3 linked regions of the Drosophila melanogaster genome follow. The protein of the gene in region 3 interacts with the protein of the main gene of each other region in a pairwise test. Each region holds a gene or a part of one and is shown on either strand. Other genes may lie near its edges.

Region 1 (4,488 bases), on a different chromosome or scaffold from region 3:
GTGGGCGATGTGTGCGACAACTGCGTGCTTAAGTACAATCCCAGGCAGTTGGACACGGACGAGGATGGACTGGGAGACGAGTGCGATGGTGATATCGACAACGACTCCATACCAAATGCGCTAGACAACTGTCCGCTGCTGCCGAATCCCAGTCAGTCGGACGTGGACAACGATGGTGTGGGCGACGCTTGCGATAACTGTCCGAATCTTCCGAATCCCGACCAAAAGGATCGCGACATGGACTTTGTAGGCGATGCCTGTCACAGAGACATCGACGGGGATGATGATGGAGTTCCAAACTCGCTGGACAACTGCCCAATGGTCAGTAACTCGGACCAGCTGGACACTGACGGTGATGGAACGGGCGATGAGTGCGATGACGACATGGACGGAGATGGGATACCCAACTACAAGGACAACTGTCCGCTGGCCAAGAACCCAAAGCAGGACGACTTCAATCGGAATGGCAAGGGTGACTCTTGCGAAGATGATGAGGACGTAGATGGTGTACCGAATGGCATGGACAACTGCCCGAACAACTCGATGATTCATCACACTGACTTTCGCACTCTTCAAACCATTCCACTGGATCCCAAAGGCCTATCGCAAGCGGATCCCAACTGGGTGGTACACGCCAATGGCACCGAGATAGTCCAGACCCTCAATTCGGATCCGGGACTAGCGGTGGGCAAGGACGCCTTCGGAGGCGTTGACTTCGACGGCACCTTTTATATCAACGATGACACGGACGATGACTACGCTGGCTTTGTGTTCAGCTACCAGAGCAGCTACAAGTACTACGTGGTGCAGTGGAAGAAGGGCACCCAAACCTACTGGGAGCCACGACCCTTCACCGCCTCTGCGGCGCCGGGCATCCAGATCAAGCTGGTCAACAGCACCGAGGGTCCGGGCCCAATGATGAGGAACAGCCTGTGGCACGAGGGAAACACCGACGGTGAGGCCAGGCTGCTGTGGAAGGATCCGAAGAACATTGCGTGGAAGGAAAGGACCTCCTACCGCTGGTCCCTGGTGCATCGACCGGCCATCGGCCTCATCCGCCTGCAGTGAGTGATGGCACCATGACAGGGTTCCCATGTCTTCATTCTCCTTCTACCCACAGAATGCACGAGGGTAACCGCCTGATCTTCGACTCGGGCAATGTGTTTGACTCCACGCTGAAGGGCGGTCGGCTGGGCGTGTTCTGCTTCTCACAGAGGATGATTATATGGTCCAACCTGCAGTACAAGTGCAATAGTAAGGGAAATCGAAACAAAGTGGTAACTTCAACTGAACTAAACTTTTTTCTATGCTTTTCAAAACAGATCGTGTGAAGCCGCTGATCTACAATGATCTGTCCGACTATCTCAAGACGAAGGTGGAGTTGCAGGACTGAGGGGAATCGCAATCCTCAGAGCCATTAACGTCTTTTCTGCCATCAATTCTAACCAAATTATGTATTAATGCTACCACTAAGTTAATAAATGAGTTGCCAATCCAGTTGGCCATTGGAGCCGCGTTTTCCAACACAAAAATGAACTGAATCAAGTTGGCCTGGCTGCACGTGAAATCAGGAGACATTGCCTGTCAATCCATTTAGTTCAATTGCCACAGTTAGGCGAACACACTTTCGCTAGGGAACGTTTTGATCACCGAAATAAGGGAAAACCCATGTTGAAAACATTGATATAATATTTCACGGATGTCGAACTAGTTAACCAGGTTAAATTCAGTCAGTCTTGCGTAAATTTATAAAGGGTAAGTTGGAGCACAGTGCTCTACCAAATTGTGCTGACCTCATTCATTTATGCGTCCAAATAGCCACGATGGCCAGCCGCAATGTGCAAGCAACTCCATCCCAGGAAGAGCTGAAGCGGACTGAGAACAACAAGAATGTGAAAAACTCCGAAGAATGTCAATCAATGGAAAACGATGTGGACGCGGTTGTCCCATCTTCGTCGGAGAGTGAGCTGCGGCCTCGCAGTTCGGGAGTTAGGCCCACTAAAATTCCGGCTCCACTTTTCTTGGGACCCAGTGCCAGCAGCCGGATCTACAGTTCACTGATGCCCGAGAGAAAGCGACGCTCCTCCATGGAAAGTCAACAGATGGCCGACGATTCTGGCATCAATTTGGATTGCTCCACGGACGAGCAGCAGACTACGCTGTCGGCCAGACCGAGTCCAATGCTGCAGCCGATGCTCGACAGGATTCCGGACACTAGCAGCGAGTTGGAGCTCCGACTGGCAGAGGAGCAGACTCTCAAGGAACTTCAACGCGTCGTCGCCGAAATGGAGGCTGATGTGGCTTTTAATAATTTAGATATGCAAAATCTACTGCCCGATGATATTGACCAGGATACACAGGTGCAATATGACGCCACTGATGTGGATACACAGTTGCAAAATGAAGCCTCTGATGTGGAGAATGGTGCCGAGTCTTCCGGACTAGATATGGAACAGCTGACAGGAAACGATATTCAGCAGGAAACACTTCCTGAAACACAACCCGAAGAACTTATACCAGGAAATGTACAGATGGTGGAAAAAGAAATTGCACCGAAAGGGGAATTTCCAGAAATAAAGGAAACTGCCGTGGAAATAGAATCTTTAAAGGAATTCGAAATTGTCCAGCATTTGGGCGAAGAGCCAATAGATGAACACACAGAGATCGTCCAAGAGACCCCGCAAGATCCTACAGACGTAGAATCCGAGAAATCTGTACCCGAATCGGATATGGAGGAACTCGAAACGTTAATTAATGAAAGTAGCGAGTCCGAAGAGGACAGGCTTGTTCGTGAACAATTCGAGAAATACCCTGAAACATTGGAGCCCATGTTTCATCCAACGGCGGATGAGATTGTGTGCATTGACTCGGTCCCGGAACTGGCCGACCATCCCTCACTAGATGGGTCGGTGCAAAACGGTCGCGAGATGGTTACTTTGGATGAACTATTTGATCCGGAGTACAATGTGCACCTAATGCGCCAACTTTTGCAGGCCAGAATAGAAGAGAATAGCGAAGTTGAAACAGCTCCAGACTTGATAGAAAGTGAGCAAGCGGAAGAAAGGGAGACGCTGACGGGCCCGGAGGCGGAAATCGATATGGAGGAGGAAACGGATCCGGACCTAAAACAAACTGGCAAGCCCTTGAGTTTCTTGAGGCGTCTAGTCAACCACAGAATCCTTAAGCTTAGCTATCCCATATTGTTCTGCAGCTTGGCTTTCAGTTTGGTCTATATAATTCGCAAGGAGTAGAAGTTCACTATTCTAGAAATGCAAATTGGATAATGCGAACTTGCGAGAGCATACGTTTCACTACGGTATATCTTAGGAAACACTTCAAAATCGCCCGACGCATTGGCATAGTTGGGTTGCTTTAAATATCTATTTTCCAAATAAATATCCACAATATCACGGCCGCACTGTTTGTAATTTGTATAATTTGTATGTATATTTGAATTAAAGCGCCAATTACTTAACATTCTTTTTGAAACGAGCGCTAGGTGGCGCCTTTGTCAGGTCATACTCTTGTTGGCTAGGGCAGGGTAACGGTTATCGATAACCGGAAACTGCACCTGCCCGTTTACTGTTTTCCCGGAATAATTACCGATGGAGGAACGGCGGAATTCTAAACATGGGGAATTTTTTATTTATTTTTTTTTTTTTGAATGTATAGAGGAATCGTGAAAAATAGCAATGATACGAACTTACAGATCTAACTATGTCGGTGGGACACGGAGAGACTGGTCGGCGGGACTAGTACTAGACGACGGGAAAGAAAATTAATAAATGAAAAGGCTAATTTGACGCAATTCCCGGAATAATAGTTTTTACTTGGAAAATAGTTTGGGATTATTGCAAGTTTTAGTTTTACATAACTATTATATTGAATACAAATATCTTTACTGAACCGCTCCTGTTCAAAGGCAATATTTTTTCGCGTGCTAGCGTGCGGTCACACTGCAGTCGCATACGGTTGTTTCCATATGAACGAACAAACTGTTTTTTTAGCGGAGTGCGCTGCTGTGAAATTTTGAAAGCTCTTTTTGGACCCTTTAATTTTATGTAACGGCTGTGCGGCACATTCAATATCCAAGCGAAAGGAGGTCCACACACTCCCCTGGCGCCGCCTGAGCGTGGTCGTCCTGCTCCGCGCTTCTAGCACCATCACCTCCACCACCACCCCCCCAACCCGTGAAACATAACGCGAAAATCGATTTCGGCTGCAGGCGCAGGAAGAAACTGAAGAAAGTATGTCCCACGGCGATGTGGACCCCGAGGTAGAGATGACATCGCCCCACCGTATTCATGGGGACGCAGGAAGTCACCCAAGGTCGCAGACATTCTGGAAGCTACAGTGCTGGCGGAGCAGCATGCTGCTCATAGTCGGATTTGCATTGTGCGTCCTCGCGCCTGGATGCAGCGCCACGGACACTGACATCGCTCTGGACGCCAAGGCCACGCTCAATCACCGCATCCAGAGCCTGGACCT
Region 2 (5,313 bases), on a different chromosome or scaffold from region 3:
GCAAATGAACTAAGCGCGGAGTTTGAACAGCCTTCTATTGTTGTTGTCGCGATGTTGTTGGTGTTGGTGTTGCTAGTTGCCGCTGTGCACATTGGCGTTGCCACACCTCAGAAATGCGAAACAAAATGAAATTAATGTGGATACACGCACCGAAAAACTGTCGACAGGAACGGAAATATGGAGACAGAACTTCAATTTATTTCTTGTAATAAAATGTCCTTGTGCTTGGTCCAAGAAACTGTCCTTTACAAATTTTGTAACAAATATTAATCTAATACACATCACTTCCGAAACCGTTTAAATTTGTTAATATTTATTTGGTGATCAACTTTGGTGATGCATGTTTACATCATTTGTTTTTTCTTACAGTGGATGGCGCGTTACGCGCTTGTGCAATTGCAAATTGAATTTTTACAATTGGAGTGCAACAACAATTACAACTACAACAACGGCGTCTGGAAAATGTCGTCGGCCCGGGCAGGAATGAAAAAGAAAAGAAAACGCAAAGGAAACTCAAGTGGCTGCTTTTCATTTTCGCGCCGCGTTCAAATGCAAATCATTTGGTGGCTTTTGCAAGTTGACAATTTGAAACGCCATTGTTTATCCAGCCGAAGAAAAAGGGGTGCGGGTTGTGGGTTGACTGGCTGGCTGGCTGGCTGGCTGACTGGCTGGTGGAAAACTGCTTGGCATTTCCGCGTTGTCAGACAAGTCAGAGGCATGGACGATAGACGACAAAGACTTCATATTTCCTCGACTTTTTCCCATTTCCATTTTCATTTCATGCATTTATCTGGTTGAAGACAACTAATTGAGTGGAGTGGACAACGAGCGATTGCAGTCAATTTTTGCCCCGGCAGAGGAATATCAATTTGAATGCCGTGGAAAAAGCAGTCGAGATTTTGACTTTTCCTCTAATTCCCAGCTTGATTTCAAGGCCTTTCCTAACAGATTTAATTTTCATTCGCACTAATTGACGCAATTAAATGTTGCCATTCCAGGACTCGAAATGAAATCTTCGCCAAAAAATCCAGGCAATTTGCAAGTTCAGCCAAGCCGAATAGTATTTATAATGTCGAATTGTAGTTCAAAATATTATAAAATTTATTGAAAATAAACAAATTTATATTTAAAGTTAAATAATCATTTTCTTGGCTATTAGTGGCGGTAAATCATTCAGCAATAAAAATGTATTGGATTTAGATATTTATAAAAAAAATTGTTTAAAATATATATGTTGGTTTCTTTTTTTGAAAGTCTCTGTGTAAGCAGCAGCTGACCGTAGTAGTTATTAAGCCTATGTTTTGTTGCATTTCCGGTTCCAACTACCCATTCGTTCGAGCCACCAACTACTCCCGGAGGAGTAGAATGGGCTTAGCCCCTTCAAATACCATCATCCAAGGCAAAAGAGAGCCGAGACCAATTCAAGGCGATTTATGAAAATTAAAACATCTTTTCCATGGCTTTCAATTGCACTGCACCCAAAAGGAAAAGCAAATGCAGCGGCAAATGCAAGCACATTGACAGACGTGCAACATGAAAAGCAATTTCCTCGCACTAAAGAGAAAACTGAAACAGCAACAGCCATTGGCCAATAACAGCGAATTATATTCATTTTCACATTTTCCATGCTGCGCTTTAATAGTTTCCTCAAAAGGAGAAGAAACCGAAGACCCAACGACTTTCAATTGCTGTTGCAGCTATTATGCAATGAATGCAAATTTATTGAACACAATTTCAAAGACCGACAACAATGGTCCGCAGCAGAGGAGAGGAGACGACAACGCGGAAGAGTCGCAGTGTCAGTTGCAAATTGCACGTACCTTTGTTCAGATGCGCAACAGATGAAGATGTTGCTGCGGGGTTGACGACGCTGTTGTTGCTGCTGCGGCCGCTGCTGATGGTGCTGCTGACCGCTGACGAGGAGGAGGATGCAGAGGAGGATCCGCAGGATCGCGAAGATCCGGAGGAGGAGGCCGACGAGCAGCCGCTGTCCGGCGAAGAGTGGGCGGCGCTGGAGGAGGGGGAGCTGCTGCTGGTGTTGTGGTTGCTGGCCGGACCGAACTGATGCACACTGCTGATGGTGTACAAAGCACCTCCACCATTGCTCAGCGTGCAGTTGAGCTGATGTTGCTGCTGTCCAGGGTGTTGCTGCTGCTGCTGCTGTTGCTGTTGTTGCTGGTGGGTGTGCTGCCGTTGCTGCTGCTGCTGTGGGCTTAGACTGGCTGCAACACTCTCTGCTAGGGCTGATGTTCTATAGAAGTCGTCGCAATGCAACAACTGCAATGGATCAGCTTCAATGGCACTTAGGCAATCCTCCAAATCCCGGTGATGCTGCTTCTGCTGCTGATGCTGCTGTGTTTGCTTCTCCTCTTCCTGCTCGGATTCCAAGCTATTGGCCTCACTGTAGGCCCCTTGGGTGGACGAGTCCTCCGGTGTGTCAAAGAAATGCAAATTAAAGTCTGAATTTGCATTAAAATTGACTACCGGCAGCAGGGCTTCCTCGTCCTCGTCCTCCTCTTCTTCTTCGCCTTCTTCTTCCTCGTCCTCTTCGTTGTCCTCTTCCTCCGCCTCCTCTTCGCTTGGCTGTTCCTCCTCGTCCCGAGTGAAATCCTTGATGAGGTCCTCCTGCTTAACTTGGAGCTGCTGCTGCTCCGAAGACGAGTGCTTCACACAGGTTTCGACCAGCAGTTTGGAGCGGATTTGTGCCTGTTCCTCCAGCTCTATTTGGTATACATCCATGTTGCTCGGATCGAATCGGTGAGATGGGCATCCATCATCTTCATCATCGTCCTGCTGGCGGAAATCGACGTTGGCAACCTGCGAGGGCGCCTGATCAGCATTTTTATGGGAAATCTCTGCGATGTTATATCTTTTGCACTTAATGAGGAATCCGGAGAGGGCGTTTCAAAAGGATTCACGGTCTTTCAAATTTTCTTCGCTTTTGTCAGCTGTGGCTGAATTGAAAAAAGAAGTTAGGCTTTAGCATATGGCAAAGTCCTTTAAAGAAAATGCTATCCGATTTCAAAAGCTAGACCAATCTATCAAGTTCTGGTAATCTTGAAAAACCAATCATAATAAGTACGATAAGTTAACATTAAGTCTAAGAATAAGTGTATAAAATAGACATTAATTTTTGATATCAAGTAACCTAATATTCCCAATACTATAATATTTGGCCAATATTTCCTTTTTTCTATTTATTAGTTTGCTAAGTTTAGTTAAGGCCTTTCCCAGCCATGTACATATGTAATTATTGCCTCCCTACTTTGTGCGCAGTTCTTTCGTTAATGCTTGAATTCAATTATCACGATCATTTCGCATTTCTCATTACTAATCCCCTCGCTTAAGTTTGTCACTTGCACTTAGCCTTCGTAATAGCTTGTATTGCATAATTTTTCAATTCACTTCCGTGTTGTTTTCGAAGTCCTTCGTTTCCAAGTTCAGGCTAGTTCCAAAATCGGGCGCTCGTTTCGATATAGGTTCGTTTTGTGGCGGCACACTCGCGCGTCGATTTTATTATTTTTTGGGAGAAATGGTGATCGCGCGTACAAAACTCTCGCTTCGTCGAGATCCAAGCGCCAACTTCGCAGCGCTCCAAATGCGCCAGGGAAAATCCAAGCTAAACTGTAGAACCTACGACAACACACAAAAGTCCAAGACGACGACGGAGCAGCGGCGCAGAAGAACAAGAACGTGTCCCTCTGCGCCAGTGTGAGTAACTGTGCGCTGGTCTGTGTGTGGAAAGAGCAGGAAAATAGAATGCATTGCGTCTGTGTGGCCCAATGGAGTGGGAAAACTGCGAAGCGCCGCCGCCGCCGGAGCATGAGGTGGAGCCGCTGGAGGAGATGAAGGGAGCAGATCGGTTGGAGAGAGTCAATGTGATGCGAGTACTGGAGGCTCTATCTTTCTAATCTCCACCAGCGCCAGCGACAGCAAGAGCAGCAGCAATAACAGCAGCCACACAAGCTGCAACAGCAACAACTTGGAAAGCTGCAGCCACATTAGAAACTGCTGCAGCAATAGAATCGGCAACAGCAGCAGCAACTGTTGCAACAGCAACAGCACAACAGAAACATGCATTGCCACTCTCGCTGTTGCAGCTGTATTTTGTTGCTGCACTTTTTCATTTGCAAACTCTTTTCCTGGTTGCTATTTTCAATTTCTATTGCCGCTGCCGGCGTTGCTGCCAACGTCGGCATCGACTTCCAACATTTCCAAGTGCAACCACACATCCACTCAAGATCAATTTCACACACACCAATGCAGCGAGCGAGAGCAATAGAGAGAGACTCGGACCGTTACTTAGTTTGCACTATCCTCGAGGGAGAGGGCAATGGGCATGTGTGTGTGCGCGAGAAAGAGAGAGGGCAGAAGTGTGGGCGCCTTCAAGGGGGGTCAAGTCAAAGAACCTTCAGCTGAGCAGGCAGGAAAGAGAAAGGCCGAACGGCAGAGTGGGAGAGCAAATTCTGCAATGCGGAAGTTTAAATGTTGCATGTTGCTTTTGCGTTTGTGGGCTGTTTTTCACCGAGAAGAAAGTGGAAAACTGCAGTTTTTGGCATGAAAATACTTTCCTGAAAATTATTTTTGAAGATCAAATGAAGTATTTAGGAATTTGCTTCTGAGTCAAAAAGGTTTAATGTTTTGACTTGAAAATAAAAAGCAAACAATGCCAAATTTTCCCGAAAAATGAATTTACATTCAAGGACAATGATAAAAAATAATATGATTGTGCAAATTGCAAGGGTACAAGGAATTAATTAACTAGGTACAGAAATCTCTTTTTCGAATAGTATTTTTTCCTTTTTCCCTAACGTTTTCCGCAATTTTCGTGACGAACGCCTGGCGCAAAAGGGAACGAACGAAAGTCAATGATCAGCGGCGGCGGCGACGTCAACTGCATGCTAGCTTGCCATTTTTCCAACGGGCAGCAGCGAAAGCAACCAGAAACTGTAAATAACAGGAAAACGGCAACTGGGCGATCGGTGGAGCCACATATCCACGATCCTCCGCGAAAGCGAAAAGCCAGCGAGCAGCCGAGGTACGACGACCAATCGAAGCGATAACTCCGCCGCCCCCACCGATCCGACGATCCACCCAGGCTGTGGCATGCTATAGCACACTATATGTCCGATTGCGTCGGGCGATAAAACCTGATCTCCGCAGACACACCGATATGCCACGCACACTCCTCCAAAGACGCTCACCCATACAGACAGACGTGCGATGACGACGAACCAGGAAGAGAAAAATGAAAATGCCGCTCGCGAAGATTGTGTAATCGAATCGAGTGAGTGTGTGCGTGTGTGTGTGTGC
Region 3 (4,446 bases):
GATACCTCGTCTCCTCCGTCTGACGGCGCTTACAAGTCATTTGGGCCAATTGCTGTTGACTCTGCGCTCTAAGGCGAATTTCCGCTGCGAAGTTCACATATTTTGCACTCACTTTATGCTGATGACATGCAAGTGGCAAAAATTATTTGCGCTCGTGCATTTGGCGACCAACTACAGCCACGTCTCCGAACCAGCCAACGTCGAATAATGAGCAGCAAACAAGCTGTGGAAATCAGCAAGCTATGGTCTAGGCACTGGGAAAAATTCTAGTTAAATATAATAAAATATTGCAATAGAAGTAGGAAATAATGCTAATTGATGATAAATCCATTATGAAATGACAGAAGTGGGAGAAGATTGTTCTGCTACGAAAAAACGTACCTATCATATTAAACTTCTTTCCGGCTTTTCCCAGTGCATGCGAGAACGGGAACAGACTACAGGAGCATGAAGAAAAAATGCCGCCCGACGGCAGACAGCTCCCATTTCCATTTCCATCGTCTTCTTTGTCGTGACATACGGAAAATTCCCCACGGAGTCTATCAACAGTTGATAAAGCAAAATGTGCGTAGAGTCAGCCGGAGAAATGGTAGGACCCTGGATGGCATTCTTTTCCTTTTTGGTATGTACATAAGTTTATTATTTTGAAGGTAATTGGATTTGTGTTGCAGCAGTCAAGAAGTCGCCGCAGCATAATAAGAAAATATAGACGAGGACATTGAACTTGGGGGCGCGACAATCCCAACATATGCTCAGTGCCCAAGGAATCGCCTCTGGCCGGGGAGTCCATCCGCTGGACATCGCACATTGGTCAATGGCCATTGTTTGCACTCGTAATTGTTTTCCTAATGGATAAAGTCTATAAATTTCTGCGACCGACACCCGGCCAAATGCGAAATATGTCACGAATGTTAAGCGCTTTATAAACGACTCCAATGCGTTTGTGGGCAGGAGCGGACTAGAGAACCGGAATGTCGAGGATTTATCGATGTTGGCCACTCAGCGGGTCGAAGAAAAGGCCAGCGGATTGCAATTGCCAAGCGGATGGAGTCAGATCCTGATGCACTTGCCAATGACTCGTAAATTAAGACGTTGATGGAGTTCCCCCTTTTCGAATTGTCTACGGGAGCTGTCTCCTCGAAATTTTTTTGTTTCGCTTTCCTTGATTTGAAATGGAAAATGAGAAAATTTAAGACACATAAATTTCAATAACAGTGCATCGTAATAAAAATTTAACATTGCTCTTTTATTTTAAGCGAACCTATTCTTCATTGAAAGGTGGCTGATGAATTCCGAGAATTCGATTCATGTTTTCCTTGTACATCTGAGTTCTGGTGGGTTGATTATCTTTTTTCTGGTTACCGGTACGGACTTCCTTTAGTCGATCGTGGGCCAAGGGGAATGAAAATCCGTCACCACGACTAGAGAAGATCGGAAAGGGCCAGAGGTACCACTTATCGCCATAAAGGTCACGAAAATTAACAAAATATCCCAAATTGAAACCATTATTGTTCTTGCCGCCAAGAAGAAAGTATGTGGCATAAGCCGACTCCATAGTGGTGCGATTTCGAGATACGTTTAACAAGCTGACAGTGTACATAATCACGGTGAATATGTTAAAGAGTATGCATACCAAGTACTGAAGAATGTTCCAGGAATGCTGATTTTTCAGGGCAGTAACTTCAAAGCCACAAATCAGGTACAAATCATAGACCATTACGCAGAACAGATAAAAGCAATATACTTCAGCGTAAAACAGGAAGAGTATGAAGTACTTGAAGTTGTGAAAGTGCACGCAGTTCACTATCCAAGGACAGTGGTGGTCCATTTTCAGGACGCACATGTGGCAGGTTCGACAGTGATGAGCTCTATCCGGCTTAATAATCCAGCAAGTCTTGCAATATCTCACTAGTCCATCGATGGTGCACGTGGCAATGGGTAAATTTCTAGCTGCATAATTTAAGACTCGAGATGCTCCCTCTATTCCATCGTTTCGCTTCAATTTGTCGACATCCTCGGGTGATATTTTCCATTGATCGGGAATCCTAACTGGAGCTACGAAAATGCACCGAAACCATGTCCATAGAAACATGAACAACAGTAGATGGTAGAAAAAGAGCAACAGTCCAATGGTCAAGTAGTCCGAAACTTTCTTTATGCAGATTTGGTAAACAAATACGTGGTAGGACCATACCAAAAAGCCCAGAATTATTAGAGCAGGAAGCCATCTGACCGCGCAACAGGGCACTCTTCTATGGCCTTCCCCAATCGGGCACATTCTGGAAGGGATCCTCCACGTCCGGTGAGAGTCGTGTTTTGATTTCTTTGCGGGAACATGTTGCATAACTTGTATTTTTGAGCCCTTTTTGTCAGCCTACTGTCTTTTGATTTATACGTAATAGAGACTGTTGTGCTTTTTGATTATTTATTTACTCTTCACATCCATCTTTAAAGAAAACATTAACTGATACCTGGGCAAGGTGAACATTGCCTGGGGCCTATCACATTAGTCAACAATTGGGGGACACAGACTTAGTTGCGGTGACGGAAGACGCGGCGACGGACGGTCTTGTAGCGGTAGCCGTCCTGGGCTGGCTGCTCGATCTCCTCGATGATGGGCTCCTCGGCCTGGACAGGAGCGGGTGGGATGTAGGCGGGGGCTGGGGCTGCGGGAGGGATGTAGGTCTCCACGGGAGCAACTGGAGCCGGTGCTGGAGGGATGTAGGTGTTCTTTGGCGCCGGTGGTGGTGGTGGTGGTGGGGGTGGGATGTAGGCCTTGGCAGGAGCAGCCGGGGGAGGAATGTAGGTGTTCTTGGGTGCTGGTGGGGGTGGTGGTGGCGGTGGGGGAATGTAGCTCTTCACAGGCGCCGGTGGAGCGGGCTGGGGGTAATCGTATCCTCCGGCAGCCGGCTCGGAAACATCAGCGTAGGCGCAGGCCAAGAAGGCGACGGCAATGATAAGGAATTTCTAGGATGGAAATACATATGGTTTAGATATTTTTTTCAATCAAATTTTAGCATATATATTTTGCCGATTATCCTTTAGGTAGTGTAATCCCTGAACTTACCATCTTGAGGAGATGGGCTTGTTGCTGCTTGGATCACAAGTTGATTTGTGCTGCTGAACTCGAAGTGTGACTACGGTTTTTATAGCTCATTGTTTTTTGGGGCTGCGGGTCAACCGGAGCCAAATTAATTGCATGATGCCCCCATGATACATGGGGGTCTTCACCTCACTCAAAAAAGTCGGAAGACAAGCGATACCGAACACACGACAACGAGCCTCCAATGCCAAGGCGGTTTGACGGGTTTTCTGGTTTCGTTTCGTTTCGTTTGGCTTTGGTTTCAGGTTTTGGTATCCAAAATCGCATTATCGCTGCTTTGACTTGGGCCAACTTTTTGTCTTCAGTCCTCAGATACTGCAAAAGCTTCTTTAATTAGATCAAACAAACCTATTGTTGCACGCTGTATAATGGTTTAATTTGTTTTTTAGCCATTATGTTTTTATTTTGATGAATGGTCGTGGGCCACACGCAAGATTGGCTTGGGTTTATGTTTTAATAATTATTTTATTTCTTTTGGATTATTTTTTTCGTTTTCAATTCCCTTGTTTCTGCTTTTTGAGCTGGGCGAAATATTAGCCTGGGGCCGGGCCTATGGAGTCGTTTCAAGTTTATGCCAAAATTAATTTCAATTTGTTTAGATTATGTTGATCTTGAAAATGTCTGGCGAAGCTTAATTAATTACTCAGGTCCGGATACTGACTCTGACTTTTTCGAACACCTGGCTAATAAAATAGTTTATAGTATTTCTACGTCGCATCATTTGGCTGGCAGACGTTGAACACGTTTTCGGTGGGTGCAAATAAGTAGTAAAAGATGTGCTCGCCAAAAAGATTGAAATGTATCTAAAAAAAAGTGGTTGGATATGTGTTTTGATTTCTAGTTTAATTATATTTATTTACTTTTTTTTTACATTGTACGCCTATTATTTTATTCTTTAGAATATGCATCACAGTTTTGGATATTATATGTCTGGTAATCGAGCACATTTCTATCTTCATCTTTAGAGTACCTATAAAGGTTATTCTAAACTGCTATACAGAAAAAATAAAGGATAAGGAATTGTTTTTATACAAATTGTTAAATTATAAGACAAACACAGTGAAAGTTTAGATAGTAACTTTTTTTTATTTTATTTAATAATTTTTCTCCTGGCGGAGATCATCGATGGAGTAGCTCTCTAGTAACGGCGACGGATCACACGGCGGACGGTCTTGTAACGGTAGCCATCGGCGGACACGGGCTCGATCTCCTCCAGAACGGGCTGAGGAGCCAGGACGGGAACGGGAGCGGGAGCTGGGGCGACCTTGACGGGCAGAGGAGCTGGGGCTGGGATGCTCACGGGTGCGGGGGGAATGTAGGTGTTCACGGGTGCGGGAGCAACC

What was found.
Region 1: the proteins of CG17287 (region 3) and CG11327 interact in a two-hybrid assay, tested with the Drosophila melanogaster proteins (one large-scale study listed by BioGRID).
Region 2: the proteins of CG17287 (region 3) and Eip78C interact in a two-hybrid assay, tested with the Drosophila melanogaster proteins (one large-scale study listed by BioGRID).

What each region holds. Positions count from the first base shown.
Region 1 is NT_033779.5:6,683,830-6,688,317, reverse strand, and holds CG11327 (uncharacterized protein), read left to right. Parts: upstream 1-1,605; 5' UTR 1,606-1,755; intron 1,756-1,818; 5' UTR 1,819-1,823; coding exon 1,824-3,251; 3' UTR 3,252-3,476; downstream 3,477-4,488. Other genes in the region: Tsp (thrombospondin), read left to right, coding at 1-1,064, 1,121-1,254, 1,323-1,393; Nhe3 (Na[+]/H[+] hydrogen exchanger 3), read left to right, coding at 4,370-4,488.
Region 2 is NT_037436.4:21,224,899-21,230,211, reverse strand, and holds the start of Eip78C (Ecdysone-induced protein 78C), read right to left. Parts: upstream 3,294-5,313; 5' UTR 2,740-3,293; coding exon 1,821-2,739; intron 1-1,820. UniProt on the Drosophila melanogaster protein: Induces the early late puff 78C which triggers puparium formation and development.
Region 3 is NT_033778.4:17,155,913-17,160,358, forward strand, and holds CG17287 (uncharacterized protein), read right to left. Parts: upstream 2,405-4,446; 5' UTR 2,279-2,404; coding exon 1,262-2,278; 3' UTR 622-1,261; downstream 1-621. Other genes in the region: CG30458 (uncharacterized protein), read right to left, coding at 2,533-2,967, 3,068-3,070; CG30457 (uncharacterized protein), read right to left, coding at 4,242-4,446.